2 linked regions of the Drosophila melanogaster genome follow. The protein of the gene in region 1 interacts with the protein of each later gene in a pairwise test. Each region holds a gene or a part of one and is shown on either strand. Other genes may lie near its edges.

Region 1 (10,207 bases):
ACAGTGACATAAGACACAGGATGACATCGGGGCCCAGACGGCTTTCAGCCCAATCCCTCTAACGTGTTTGGACATGGCCAAGAAGCGTAGACAATGGCACACACAAAGCGACTTCAAGTGGGTGGCAAAAACAACAAAAATGCTTTCTTTAATTTTGCAGACCATGTACTTTCCCCTCCGCTAGAGCTTTATGAACTTTATGGGCACCCGAAAATTTTGCTACACCAAATTTGAGTTGCTTGGGCCAAAATCAAGATGGCAGTCTTCGGTTTCATTAGATTTTGGTTGCCTACTTTATGGCTGAAGCTCTACAAGAAAACGCATAATTATTTAGCAATTTCTGTTCAATGTTCAATTTCAAGTTTAGGTATGAGTTCTTAAAAATTTTAAACCTCTACCTAATTTGCTGGCTTTAGCTTCTGCCGCATCTTTAGCATTTCATTTCTTGTTCGTAACCAGTTTTCACTTCGCACATGCTGGAAAAAGGGAATAATATAAAATCAAAAGTCCGCAATGAACTCATCAAAATGAGCAGCGGATACTTAATCTGATTTACTTGCCTCAGTCAAGTCAGAGCCACCAGGATGACAGCCGTCTCGGCTGGCAAGCCGAGCAAACAAGCGTCTTCATAAAAAGAACGACATTTCGACCGGGCCAAGAGTGGATTTCTGTGGATGGAACCAGAGGATGGGCGGACCGGAGTGTCGGGGGAGAAGTGTCCCAGGACTTTGGCTGCCATGGGCTGCTCATAGCTGGCGTTCTGCGGCGTTGTGTACATCATAAAACAGCGATAAGATAACCATGTCCAGCGACAACCCACCGTGGCACTTGCCGCCTCCAAGCACTGGCAGTCCAACTTTTCCTTCGCCATCCTGCTACAGGCTCTTGATACCCCTTATATCCTAGACTGGCGGCACTAGCTTACAGGATTTGGAATCAAAAAGTTTATATACAAATTTAAAATTAAAGAAGCTATATTACCATTTATTCGGTTACCATTTCCACAACCAATAAGAAATATTAATTTTATTATTTATTTACCGTTACGTATACCGTAGCACAACAATATTAACTTTTCTGTTTTATTATTTAATAAATCCATAAGTTTTTCTTCAATTGAGAATTAATTATTGTAGGCGATTCAAAACTAGATTTTTAAATTGCGTTGCGTTTTTTAATCCAAGGCTAGTACACAAGCTTATTATTTAGAACAAATAATATCCCGAATCCGAAAATCATTTTATACGGTATGTTTGGATATATTTCTCCCCCAGATTTTTATTTGATTTCCATTGCCCGACGGTCTTGGTCCACCTCCCACAACGAAAATTGCCTGATGCTGGTTTTCCCTCCCACTTTGTTTGGTTTCTGGGGCGGCAGGATCTTTAGTGTGATTTATTTGCGCAGAGCACAATGTACTTTCTTTTCAAATAAATCATAAATTTCAACGCATTGCCGTGCAGTACACAATTGTTCTTGATGTGGCTCCCGCTCCAGATTTCGCCACGCCCACCAATAATTTTTGCCCAACGAACGGATTTTCCCGCTATCTCGCAGTGAGCGTTTTCAAGCTTGGATGGCCTATGGTCGCGTTGCGACAGCAATTGAGTTATCCGAAAAGACTATCTAAGCAGAAAGGAAGATGTATATGCGTTCAGATATTTCATATTATATTTATTGTGTTTTTATGGCACTTGGGCATTTGGCCCAAGTCGCCCAGCGTTTTGTTTGTCCTGGTGAAAAATGTAAAACGGATCTCGACCCTCGCAAGGCCGCAGGGAGAATTATGAGCTAAACGCGACACGCATTTCAGATGGCGTGGGTGGTGCCAAAGTGGGTGGCTGTGGTGCTTCCAGTTGAAGAACTGACCAAGTCGAGTTGGAAACACATGATTTGTGGCGGTTTTGTTAAGCCAGCCAGCCAGTCAAGTGAGATTTAGTCGCAATGGTTTTGGCCTTTAAGTTTGATTTACAGGCAACACTTCATTTTGTGATCTTTTGAAATTACTTGAAGAACACTGCAGTTGAAAGTTCAAAATATAAAATAAATTTAGCTAACATGATTTTATTAAATTTATCACAATTTTACTATTTCCTACAAGCTTAAACATTCATAGGCACACTCAAATGCGAGTAACTTCCTTTTCCTTGTTAACCTCATCGATTTGCACCTGAACGGGAGTACGATATGCACTTTGAACCATCATGGATACGAGAACCATTTCAACCAGGATAAGGATGTTGATGATAGCTGTAAAAAAATGTTAAGAAATGTTGAAACAATATTATTATTAAGAAAGTAAATTAAGATGGATCTAAATTACTTTGAAGTAAGATACTCACTTTGCTTGTAGACGGTGTGATTAATGGGATACTCCCCACCCATTTTGATGCCGTCCAGCTGATCATAGAGTACCAGGTACTGCAGTTTGCAAAGCATCACCACCAGTTGGAGGCAGAACATCTTCTTTCTCAGCTGATAGTCCCCGCGCACCTTCGTGATCATCCGCACAGTGATTTGGAGGGACCAAGCGCTATTAGTGAACAAACACTTAGCTCGTATGTTTATAATAATAATAAAAACGAATCAAATATTTACCCCAAGACAATGGAGCAGACGATGAAGGGGATGAAGAAGAACATGACCTGCCGGTAGAGCTGAATGTCCCGGTAGTATAGGATGTTCATCACCAGCATAATGGAGCCCTGCCAGAAGGGCATTTGCCATACCTGCGAAAGTGAGTCCTTTTTTAGTATAATATTTCCTTGCAAATCCGATTTCTGGGACATACCATGTATCTGGAGATGCAGAGTTTCGCCTTGGTGGGAATCACCATCGGCAGGCAGAGGCAGCAGCAACAGCACGGAGGAGTATTTAGTTGCACCGCCTCGCCGGCCGTCTCCTTCACGTAATTCTGCTCCGAGCCCACGTAACGAAAGAGCAGGGTGCGGAAGACAGGTCCGCCGACCATAAACATAACGTGCATCACCGTATGGCAGATGAACCAGGAGTACGGCACCAGAATGGTAACCAGGGCAGCCACCGAGATAATCGGATACAGGCCCACCATCATAATCGAGGGACCCAGCAGCGGCTTGTCCAGGTGACGACGCAGCCGAGAGACTGTCGTTGCGAAGATGCTGATGTTGAGGATGGTCAGCAGGCTGGCTATGAAGATGGCCAGGCTGAGGAAGGCGGTCATGTCTGTAAGTGAGTTCCCAGAAATCCAATTAGTTGGAAGAAGGGTGTGGGGCTTATGTAACATTTTAGTATTATTAAACACACGCTTCAATGAGAAGCTTTTACCAGAAGCAGTTACCAGAATAAACCTTAATTTTGTCAATAGAACTTTTATCTTGACTGTATCAACCTGGGGTTGCATATACCCATATAGGCGTAAACTTGTAAATAAAATATTTTAATGGAAGAACATTGTTGTAGATAATATATAAGACACATTAATCTTTATTAATATGCTATATATACAACAAAATTAGATAACGTCTTAATTGGTGTTTTTAAGTTATAACTATATTTTCTTTATATTTTAATATATTTTTAATATACTCACTCTCATAATACTCTTCCACAGTGGGATGTGTTCGCAGGCTATTTGTGTTGTTTCTGTTCTGGTCTAAGACCTGGGATATATTCTCTGTGGGGTCCATCGTGAAATAGTTCTCACTGGCATTCATTGTGCGGCTTTTATACTTAAGGTGATAAATTCAAACTGGGGCAAGTTGGTGCAATACTTCCTGGTTTCCTTCGCTTACGCTGCAGCACTTCACTTCACATCTTTATCATAGTTCACAATTTGCCACTTAGCAGACTTTGCACCTCATTAGCACTCATACATGTATCTACATGGGGAAACATAGAGATATTGGTTATTCTCCTACTCAGGTGAAAGTGTGAACAGTATTTTTTGGTTAGTAACTGATTTGATTCCAAATGAAGGCATTGAACCTTACTAGTTAAAATTTGACGCGGCTTGTTTGAAGTAATAAATAAAATGTGAATATTATTTCATTTCTGATTATTGCTAACCAAAAGTCTAGACGAAGTGTTAATACCCTTAGACACGATCGCCAGGAGTTCGCTTCAACAACTAATTAATGGAAAAAATATGAACGATGACACATCTTTTCCGAAGCCTTTTCACTTTTCGATAATTTCATGAACCTTTATTGCAAAGCTTAAGTAACCTTGTAAGGTTCAAAAGCACCTATAAAAATCGAGTTCCACTGGATTTTATATGTCACGTGACAAAAAAATAATAATATTTTATATCAATCAAGATAAAAGCCCCCAGTAGACATGACAAAAGAATTTTCAATTATAGCCTCATTAAATGAATTTGGCTATCATCATCCCAAAATATTTTTCCGTCTTTATATCTTAGAAAAAAATTCATTTAATTTTGCATGAAGCATTCTCTGCAAATAAATTTAAACTTCTCTGAATATATACAGATTATTAGGTCACCTTAATAAGAAAATGACTACAATACCGAAATATAGTACAACTCCCCCAACTTTTTTTTGCACTTATTAGCTTCAAGTGTTTTAACGTCCATGCAACTATAAACAAAACAATTAAAAATTTCAAAACAACTGGCCATTCAGTCGGCACATAAAAGAGCATTTAAACATCGGCAAGTCTGAGGAGACGAGCACGTGACCGAAGCCTGAGGCGATTCCATGGAGTCCAGTCAGTTTTTTGAAGCCCAAAGAAGACCCGACTCCCCTCAACCAAATCCAAATCCATGTGAGGAACTGGTTTTCGAAAGCAGACAGTAGGCAGGTAACAGACCGGCCATACTAAAGCAAATTATACGAGTTGCCTCATTGCACAGCCCATTATGTAATCTCTGTGTTATTGTCCATTTACAAACTGGTTTCATATTTTTGCACAGTAATAGCCGCATACTACGTGTTGAAAGTACCCGTAAACACACTGAAACATGATTCAACATCTCGTAGCACCAGCAACGGCCTTCAGATCTGCTCCAAAAACGTGTCAAAGTCCCCGCCATCTGACCCCAATTTATATCCGATTCAACGTAATCCGGAGATGGGGAAATGGAGAAGAATCACGGCTTATCGCCAGTGATCACAATCCGGAATCAGACGATCCAATTTCATCAGCTGGCGAAAAGAGAGCAAATCCATAATCAATTTACAAGCCAGCCATAAATCATTTACCAAAAAATTAGCATTCGCCGAATCTTTTTGAATTTAGCACATTCTAAGGTGCGTAAAACAAATCGCGCAAATAAGCGTCATATATATAATTTGTATTCGTGTATAAGCACATAGTAGGTGTATATATGCACTTTTGGGTGGTTTTTTTTTAACAGATCGCAAATGGGCTTGGCACGCCATTAACAACAAATTAAATTTTGCAAATACAAAAAATATTTCAGCTCTATTTTGAAAACGTGCTAACGTAACAAACGTCATAAAATATCATGTTACTCTTGTGAAATTGGCTACAAATTTGGGTAAAGAGAAAAAATTGTCAGTGTCAGTTGTGCAAATAGAAATTTTTTCGTTACATTTAAGAATAAATAAATTTCATTAAGAAAATATTTATTTATGTTTCAATTTTTGGGTATAAAAACAGTGTTACACAAAATGTTCGAAATGAATTGTAAACATTGGCCAAAAACAAGCCAGGCTTTGCATTTCGATGTTGCAACACTTTTTTTTTTGTGGGACCATTGTTAAATGAGGCATTTTGTATTTCTTTTTCATTCACATTTATGCCCACAGCTTTTTTGCTGACTGTCATCTATTGGCCGGCCCTGACTCTTGGCCAAGATGTTTCCGAGCTTTTGCGGCTAACAAAATTCGAATTTCTTGGCGAGACAAAGTGCTGTCAGAGTGTATGGGAAACTACACGACCTTACGCAATGCAAACAAATTGAGCAGAGCGGAAAACGTTTGAAAAACCAAAATAAAACCGAAAATCGAATGCAAATGCGAGTGCATTTTTGTGGGACAAAATCAAAATCAGAACGCAGACCTCAAAATGTAATTTGCTTTCTGGTCGACATAGCAAATGATTTCCTCCTGAAATTCGCAAGAGGAATTTGCACAAAGTGAGTTGAAGATGCAAGGAATTCACCTATCTACGCTTACTCAAGATATCAGCTGTTCATTAGGGAATGTGTCAAGTGAAGACATTCAGGAATGACAGCTATCTAGATAAAAACGTAATTAATTGACTTGTCTGATAAGATGCTTCAGCTCCCAATTGTCACATATTTTCGACATGAATGAAGCTAAAGCAAAAACATTTTGTAAATTCGCAGAATCGTTTGCGGAAGTACACAGCTTCTGTTTAAGTTATTATCTCAACGGAGAAGACAAATATTTGTTATTCGTTTGAATTGGTTTGTAGGAGATGCAGCAGATATCAGCTTTTCTTGGCTGCAACCTTGACCATCACCACAGCACTTTACGTTTGCCCTTGGCATTGCACTTTAATGAATTGTTTAAAGAATTTCAATTACACTCGGATGCAATTCGAGTTGTCTTTAATTCATATTGATTGCTCGCCGTCAACGAATGAAGAGTAATTATTCTTTACATGTTCACACGAATGTATCGTAATGAATATTAGCGTTGGATCACGAGTTGAGCTACGAATCAATAAACGACAAAAATACTTTGCACTGCAATTGGTTGAATGAATTTTGTTTAATTTTGCACTTTTCTCTATTTTTATTTGCTGCTTACACTTCACACTCCCTGTTTTCTCAGCTTTTCAAGCAATTTTTTAGCCGCGTGTGTCTTATTCGCTCGCACGCTGTTCACCAACTGAAATGAAACTGAAAATATTGTAGTGCCCATGCTGATCACGAACGCGAATGCGCCCATCACAGACCACTGACTATAATGCTGGCCAAGTGGCTATAAGCCGCTGTGTGTGTGCGTTTGGGCCAAAACAGAGAATAGCGGTAGCAATAGCCACAATACCTGCACACACCTGCTGACGCGATGTGCTAATCGACATTTGTCGATTGCAAACGCCGCTGCTGCTGGGAAAAGTTTTCTTAACACTCGCTCGCTGCGGAAGTTGGCTATTTGCCGATCAAAAAGCGTTTACTTTGGACAGCCGAAGTGAAGCTCGAAAAGAGGCTGGTCCTGCTAACACGTCGGTAAGCCATTGCGAAATGAAAAGATATCTTGATGATCGAGAGTGAAAATTTGATCACGCAATTGGGTAAACTAAAAACATACATTAAGGTTAAAGTACCAGGTAAGAAATGGGTGGATCATCAATATTACAAAACACTACAATTTTGTTTGGATACGTCATAAAAGTTTATATAAATTGGTAATGTTATAATCCCCAAAGCATATATTTTTCTATATATATACAATATACACCGCTAATATATATATTCCAAATACTCAACATAAATTGCGCAGTGATCTTCGCAATGGTATAAATTATGGTATCAGCTCTGAATATATTTTTCTTTTTATTTAATTAACTTTTTTTATGCCCTGAAGACCACTGTGCAATTGAGAAAATTGCACTCCTATCTTCCGGTGCGGCCAACCCAATTTTTATCGCCATCGCTGGGCACTCAAGTTGAAAGATAATTTGTATAGGAAAGTGCCATCAGCTTTATGAGAAGTCCAGAACTTATGGATTTCACGCCAAAAGCCAATTAACATGTCCAACCAGGTGATAATTACTTATTCCAGTGTTCGATATTGACCTCAGGGAATTGAAGTCGCGGAATATAAATACCGCGATATACAATGTATATAATGGCGGCGCTTCAATCAGCTATTAATTTGCACGCCCCCGAGCGAAAAATGCAGGGTGCGATTATATTAATCGAAGCCGGCGGGGAAACATAATTTCCCCAAACAATTTGATATTCAAATTAAACTCATTAGAAATGCCATCGAGTCGAGTGGACTTCGAGTCCAAAACTCAGCCCGCGGCGGGGTTAGGCACGTATCAAAAAACGTAAATCTAAGGCACATCCGCTTACTAATTTAATGAGCGGCCCAATTAACCTTTTTTACTGTCTCTCTGCGCTCGCACACTTAACGTAACCAATCTGAAATTAAATGCTAATTATTCAACCCAAAAATTATGCAATTAATTATGCCGCAACTGCAAAATGCCAAGTTTGTTCGTTTTTATAGCAGACTCTGCGGCGGTGGCTCATAAAAAGATATTATGATGGCAGACCGCTGCAATTCAACTTATAATTTGCAAATAAATCTAATTTTGTAAAGAGGGTCAGAAGTGATAAGGCCAATTAGGGCAGGAGATCGAAAGGGAAATGTGGAGAATGGTCAGTTTGAAAAAAGACGGGAAAACAGGGGGCATTTGGTAGAGGCAAAGTTTTTGCAAACTGGTTTAATGTAAACGCTTGAAAGTTGTGTCCGTAAACAAAGAAAAATTAATTTTGTGTTCACGTCGGCCAGTATTAAATGCCTGCAAAAAAAATTCAGAAGGTAAAAAGACTGGATATACATTTTTAATGAAAAATGAAGGGCTCTATTTAACAAAATGCACTTTCAAGTTTATACTCATAGTTTACAGATTTCAGAAAATATCCACTTTTTTTCTATATATATATTTACTTTACATAATTATTTAATTAATATTTAATAATATAATTCTTATAATATCGAAAATAAAAATATTTTGAATTTCCACCTTTATATAAGCATAAACATTGCATTTACTTAATGCAAGTTAAGTTAGTTCATTATACGATGTAGATAGAAATATTAAACCTATTCATATATTCGATGTTGAAAAGATACTACCTTTAAGAAATTTTTCGTTAAACAAAAAAAGCTTAAGTTATCTATAGTTAAATTTGACTTTTAGTACATGCGAGAAATCGAAATTCAGATTATAAAAAATCTATGCATTTTTATGGTCTATCTTTCCAAGAAAACGATGCATATGTAAAACAGATCTCACCGCTGTCTCATGAATTTCCAAGAACACCCCATGGTAACCCGCACCGAACTCCTTATTTGCTGTCAGCGATGATTTCTTGCTACCATTTCTTACCTGCAACCTTCAGCAAGGGAGCGCCTTTTGGCTCCCAGCCTCCTTCACGTCCGAATGTCCTTTTGAAGAAGTGGGGCCAGCGGAAAGGCAAACTGTGCTCGCGCTTTAAAGAAAAGATAAAATTCGGGGGCCCGAGGCGACGCCTTTGAAGAAGACGTCGCCAATTCAGCGCCTCGGCAACTTTTTCTTGTCGGTTTTCATTTTCTCGCCACTGTTTATTTGCCGCCTTTGGGATTTTCTTATATTTTCTTATTTTGCTCATTTTTTCGCGCTGCTTTTTCGCAAATAAGCAACAATGCAGCCGCCATTTGAATAACACAAAAAGACTTTGATGGCGAGATGAGGAGCGATGCTTGGGGCTGACTTGGCGTTAATTTCTCGGGTCTTTATGCTCCCTGATTCATTCAACTGTCGCTGTTGTTTCAATTTCAGTCCGCACCTTCGCTCCCCCGCTTTTCGCCAGTGTTGTTTGCTGTTTAACGAAGCAAATCAACAAATTGTAATGATGCCAAAGTCCTTTTCTGCGTTGCTTGCACTTTTGCTGCCGCCCTTCCACAAATTCTGTTTTGTTTTATTCTTCGTCTCAAATGGCAGACCCGAAACCCATTCAGATCAAGAATTTACACCCAAGTTGAATATGTCGAATTGGGGATACCCAGTGATTGGAAATCATTTGAATACGCTGGTAGTTAGTAGCACTGCATCCAACAGATACAAACTTGCTTGCAACTTGTTGTAAATAATTAATGAAGATTATTAATATACTAAGTAACAATCCAACGGATGCCTGATTACCACATTAGTGAGAGACCCATAAAGATTACAGATTGAGGGGTATCCCACAACCCGTGGCCCGAAACCCGCATCGGCAGCCCTTTTTTGCATGGTGCGCTCCACTTGGGGCGCAGTGTGGCGTAAAATGAATTGAGACATTCGGGCTCGCATAGAAAAACCCGGATCCTCCGGCCGAAAACCGCAGAGGTTCGGAGGTCCTTCAACAACAACTTCTGTGCTCTGCAGCGCCCTGAATGCAAAAGTGGCAAAAGTGGCAAAAGTTTTGCACCACTCGGCCGATGAACCACTTGAGCCCCCCACTTTGTTGTGCATTCAGGTGTGAAGTTTTTGGTCGGCGCACAAAAGTATGCTA
Region 2 (6,077 bases), 3.8 Mb from region 1:
TGCAGAAGGAGCTCAAAGATCAGAATAAACATTCCAACGTCACCCTGGATGAAGAGAAAATACGCCTGTCATCAGAGCGGGACTTCTTCCAGAAGGAGTATCTGCGTCTGATGAGCAAGACCGGATCCGAGTCGGAGATCGCCTTCTTGCATGCCCAAATTAAATCTAAGGACGAGGAGTTAAAGGCCCTGCGATCTGAACTGTTTCATGGAGGAAAGCAGCAATTTTCCCCACAAAAAAGTGTGCAGTATGAGACACTGCCGCCCCCCACAGCTTCATCCATTACCTCCACCGTTACTAGCAATACGAGTGACTGCGTCCAGGCGGCCATTGCAAGGGTGGAGCGGGAACGGGATTGCGCCAGGACCGAGCTAGAAAGGGTTCGTTGCGAGCGGGATACGCTGAGGGAGAAGCAACTGAGCACTGTTCAACTTCATGCCGATGAGCTACAGGCTCTGCGCCTGCGAAACGAAGAGCTTAACGATCGCCTGCGGCAAATGGAACGCGATAATCGGGAACTTAACTCGGCTCGTCTGCCAACTGAAACGAATCTGGTGCTGCTTAAGGAGGACTTGTTGCAAATGAGGCAGCGTGTGGCATCTATGCAAACCGAAATTGACCAACTAAAGACCGAAAATGATCAAATAACGTTAGTAACAATGGAATTGCTGCTAAGCTTTCATATCGTTTATAAATTTGTTATTTATTTATTGGCAGCATGCTCAACGATCAAAACGAGCGCATCATAGCGGATTATCAGAGTAAACTTTTGGTGGCCGAGCGTCAACGACAGTCGGCGGATGTTCGGGCCAGCACCTTGGACTCCAGTCGGGAATCCAATCGCAGCGAGGTTACCCAACTCCGCATGGACTTAGGAGCTCTGCGGCAGACCTATATATCGTTAGAACACGAGAAGGATACGCTTCTGGTAACTTCATTTAATAATATATTTTCTAGAGATATTAACAATATTGTTATTTGCTTCACTAGCATCAATTGGATACCAAAACTGAGCGGGTATACAAACTGGAGTATGAGCTAAAGGATTGCAAAGAAAAACGGAATGCCCTAGAGCAGAATGTGAAGGACCTGGAGGATCAATTGCGGTAAGTGTGAGAATTGTTTAGTTTGTGCTTCAGAACCCGATACCAAAGAGTTTCAGAATAATTGACCTATTTACAACTCAATTTTTCTGCTAAAATGAAAAATATGTTATATTTCATTTCTAGACTCTATATTGTTAGTCTTTCAAATTCTTTTATTTCCCTTATCGTGATTTTCCTTAAATACAACTCGTACATTAGTCGATGTAATACATTAATGGCACTGTCTCATCCTATCGAACACGTTAACCGAATATTTCTAAAAACCACCTAAAAGAGAACAAAATGGTTAATTGAATAACAAATGATCGCATCGATCAATAAACACTGAGCATGCAAACACAAAAACAAAGGGTAATGGAGGTAATATAGGGTAAATTAGGTGGGCATGCGGTGAAAGAAGAATAAAAGTCATCACAACCGGACAGAAAATAGCTTGAAGATTGGGGATTTTAGGTGGTCCCACCAAGGTGCAGATCATTGAGAAACTTCGAGTTGAGTCGCTCGTTGGTTAAATACCTCGCCAGGCTGACACTTGGAGCGCTGCAGTTGCTCATGCCGCGTTGATCCGACTCCGAGGGCGTATAACCCGGTCGGCAGACGCACTTGGCCCGACTGGCGTGGACCAAAATTGAGGTGCCATTCGTGGTTTGCGATTTCAGTGGCTCTAGCCACTGACCCGCGCCGCAGGGTCCTCGGCTATACAGCTTGTGGCACTGCCCATTGATCTCCACCATTCCGGGCGTGGACTCGCATATATTCTGTTCCTTATCCGCTCCATCTCCCGTGCACTGCTGATCCAGATTGGTGAGGACACCGGAACAACCGCACATTCCATTGTAGGAGATGCCATCGATGGATGGCCTGGCGGTGAAGTCGAAGATCACCACCTGATGTAGGGCACACGGGCCTTGAGATCCAATCCTGTAGCAAGAATCTTCCGCTGGGAAGTACAGGCGATTCTTGCCACAGAAGTTGCGCACACAGCTGGTTCCGTTGACCAGGAACTCATTGGGTCCACAGGGACCCCTTGTGTACAGGCGATAGCAGATGCCATCGCTCCAGGGCACATAGCCCTCCTTGCACTGGCACTGGGCACGAGGCAAAAGCTGCAGGGTGCTGCCCGTTGTCTCCTGGACCTCGTCGGGTATGCGAAAGATGTGACCAGGTGGACAGGGGCCAGGAGTGTCTGAAAAATAGGAGAACATTAAATACGATATAGGAGAAAATTATGTTGAGATAGAATTTCAACATTTCCAAGGCGGTAATTGCAAATTAACGGGCTATGTAATCCCAATCCTACCCAGCTCATAGCACATTTGATGCGGAGCATGATAGTGCGGCAAGTGCCGCTGGCAGTCGCATCGACCGCCGGGCAAGAAGATGTGACCCGGCGTCGAGCAGGGTCCTTTGGTGTAGTGCTCATAGCAAGACTCCTCTGCCGGATAGTAGAACGAGGCCAAGTCGCCCACATCCTCGCAACGGCACTCGGCCAGTCCCTCCTCGTTGCGAACGAGGAGTTTACCCCGGCTGCATGGACCCTTTGCATGCCTCGCATAGCACTTGTTGTCCCTCGGCCAGAAGAGCATGTCCTCCGGGCAATGCAGCGGTCGCTTGCACGTACCCCAACGGTTGCCGGTTGCGGTTCTGGAAAGGATTTGCCTATAGTTTAGTTAACTTTTAAACATTTAATTGATATATACGGCACACATCATCCTATATCAATGATCGCCTTGAAGTGAGAAAGTCTGATAGATAATTGTTGATATCACATGAACTGTTAAGATTACTTCATTTTATTTTGAGAAGACATTAGACTTAAACAAAATTACCTGCGCTAGAAACACACACATCGGAAACAATGTCGGCTGATACTTTCGTAATGGACACCAAGGATGAATCGTTCTACGAGTGTAACATATGTCTAGACACCGCCCAGAATGCCGTGGTCAGCATGTGTGGCCATTTGTTTTGCTGGCCATGTCTGTACCAATGGATATTGACGAAACCCGATCACACAGTGTGTCCCGTTTGCAAGTCGGGCGTGGATAGGAGCAAAGTAATACCGGTGTACGCACGAAATGATAAAAGGCAGGAGGATCCGCGGGATAAAACACCGCCGCGTCCAACTGGAATTTGGTCGGATTACGCAAATGATCTCGAGTTGGGACTATTTTCGTACTTGCTTTTTGGTTTATTCTTTCCATATGGTGCCCTATCATCTTATCTGGATATGGACGAGCCACTCAATCCTGCTGCTGATCACGGCATAAGGGATGGGCAGAACGAAACACTCCTTTCTAAGTTCTTTCTCTACGTGGCCATTATGCTCATTATTTATATGATTGTAATTTAGCAAGAATAGGAATAAGATCAAAATAAACCATGATGGTGCAAATGAATCAGTATAACCGGGAAGATGTCGTCCTTTACAAATTATGTTCAGTGAAGTTTTCGGATAATTAGTCATTAATCTTTTTAGTATTGTGTAGCATTATGTAAAACAAATGTAATGAAAAGTAAATATTCAAATGCACTAGGAAACAAAACTGCATTTCATGTTTTAAACACGACAGGTTGTGTCGTAAAAGTAAAAACTGTATGTGAATGTACATACATAGGTTCTTGATGAACTTTCGTTATGCATAAAAACGAGATATCAAAGTAGAATGCTTCCGTTATTGCTTAAGTGCACCAGAACTTTCTCTTAACTCTTGATTAATGTTGAAACCCGAGTTTCGCAATCGAAATCAAAAGTTTCATACGACTAGAGAACAACCTGTAAACCTTCAGTGAAGTGAAAATGCGAACATGGCAGTTGCTTAATTCAAATAGTTTGAGCTAAGAACCGAACTCAACTCACCTCTTGACCTGATCCGGCACGGGTTGGAAGTACTCCTCGGGTTGGCAGGGTCCCCGTTCGTATAGCTTGTAGCACACATTATCGTGAAGCGGACTGAGTGCAGTTCCCGGAGGGCAGCGGCACTCGGCTGCAGGTGCATCCTTACGCTTGGCACTCACTGCGGTGGGACTGAGCTCCATGGTGGCCGGACATGGATAGCCGAGGGTGAAGATCTTGAAGCACTTCTTCAGAGGTGCCCAGTACAGCAGCTGCCAGCCACCGGACATGCTGGCGCACGGATTCTGTGCGGGATCACTCCACGGAGGCGGCACTATTCCGGCTGCCACCTGCTGCGGATTCTGGCCGGTGGTCAGTAGGAGGAGCAGGCAGGTGAGGATGGAGCTGCCCGCCTGCAGAGCAGCCCAGCAGATGAGCACTTTGCGACGCCTCATGGTGAATCTGAAAATCGAAAGTGTTTGATAAGTAAACCTATCCACACATCTAATCAAGAAATAATTACAATGGAGTTTCAGAAAGCTACATTTTATAGGATTTCTAGGATGCTAAACACCATATATCAGAATTCAAAGAGCTTTATGAAAGTGTCAACAAATCATAATATCGTATTGTGCTGGACCATTATTAATCGATTTGTATAATCAATAGGTTTCGGCATTTTTGAGGTTCATTTATAACGAATCGTTTGCGTGAAAATTAACCCTTGACGTTTCGTACTGAAATGGCAAATAACTTGAATTTAAGTCATTAAATTAAATTAAATTCGAGCTAGAGTAGACTTCCCCCTGCTCTTTTCAAGAAATCGGGGGTGGAAGCTACCATTAAACCTGATGATGGATGACTTTTCCATTGTGTCCGCTGCTGTTTAAAAATCAATTCATCGCTGCACCGGCGGAGAGTTTTAAAGCGGGTCCAATTCGAATTAGCCAACCCTTTGGGGCAACTGATTATCATGTTGGCCGGACCGCAGCGCAAAAAAAAAAAAAGAAAAAAAATTGAAAACTAAAAGGCCAAAAACCCAAAACACTGAAAACCAGTAAACGGTTCGCGCGCGGTTAACCATGACCCAAATACCCATTTATCTTGACTTCTTTTCGCCTCAGCTGCCGACCGCTGGTCAGAAATCTTCTGCTATTTTCCAACTGCTGGCTAGCCGCCCATCTTATGTAACCGGCCGCAAGATGATGAAACATGTGGCAGCCACAAACAGCCAGCGAAGCGATCAACACACCGCCGCCGCCGCCGGACACGAAAGGTGCCACACTTGGGCGGTACGAATTGCGTGATTTGCGGCCCGTTTTTGGATCGCTCTGCTAACCCGGCGGTTGCATTGGCAACTGGTTTTTCATCTACGTCAGCGTTTCATTCTGGCTAACTGGGGATTCTCCGGCCCATTTACTCCACTCGAATTGGCACCTTTCGCAAGCTTGTTGTTAACACACAGAAACTGGATTTAATGTGATCACCTTTATACAAATCAATTAAGCCGCTTCAGGTGTTTCACCTTTTGCATTCGCTGATCTGGTTCCCTTGTTCAATTTATAGTGTGTTTATGATTTATCCCATTATGTTGTTAAATATTCTTGGCATTTGTTTGAATACTTTCATCTTCTGTGCACACACTAACTGGATTTTCTTTGTTCAACGCGTCTAAGCGTATTTATTTAAATATTAGTTGGTTTGTTATGTGTATTTTCTGTTTATCTGGAAGTTTATAAAATGATTTCTTAACTAACATTTATAACATTTATGAGATCACGCAACTTGCTTGTTAGCTTACTAACTTGATTTATGGAGGGTTGCGTTATAAACCTAATTAAGAAAATTAATGGGCTCATAATTGCAAGTGAAACCCTTATCAATTATGACCCAAAATTGCAGTATACATTTGTTCGGTGCCTTTTAGGCTTTTTATACACTTTTTTGTGGGCTTATATTGCCCTGCTTTTTCGGTTTCTATTGTTGGGTCCATTTGTTAATTTTTTATAATCTTGCACAAATTGTCAAATATATTTTCATAGCAGCTACACCTTTTTTGGGCTCTTCACCTTGCTTTTTTCAATTAATTTACCAATATAGTTCAGTTTGTTGATCCTTATAGACTAATATAGCTA

What was found.
Region 2: the proteins of CG6836 (region 1) and CG32847 interact in a two-hybrid assay, tested with the Drosophila melanogaster proteins (one large-scale study listed by BioGRID).

Annotation. Positions count from the first base shown.
Region 1 is NT_037436.4:18,947,251-18,957,457, reverse strand, and holds CG6836 (uncharacterized protein), read right to left. Parts: upstream 6,830-10,207; 5' UTR 6,744-6,829; intron 3,861-6,743; 5' UTR 3,696-3,860; coding exon 3,572-3,695; intron 3,205-3,571; coding exon 2,792-3,204; intron 2,730-2,791; coding exon 2,599-2,729; intron 2,534-2,598; coding exon 2,343-2,533; intron 2,251-2,342; coding exon 2,123-2,250; 3' UTR 2,052-2,122; downstream 1-2,051. UniProt on the Drosophila melanogaster protein: Probable transporter.
Region 2 is NT_037436.4:15,118,658-15,124,734, forward strand, and holds CG32847 (uncharacterized protein), read left to right. Parts: upstream 1-2,914; 5' UTR 2,915-2,964; coding exon 2,965-3,459; 3' UTR 3,460-3,644; downstream 3,645-6,077. Other genes in the region: Cep135 (centrosomal protein 135kDa), read left to right, coding at 1-649, 718-928, 991-1,106; CG16959 (uncharacterized protein), read right to left, coding at 1,556-2,292, 2,407-2,750, 3,967-4,397.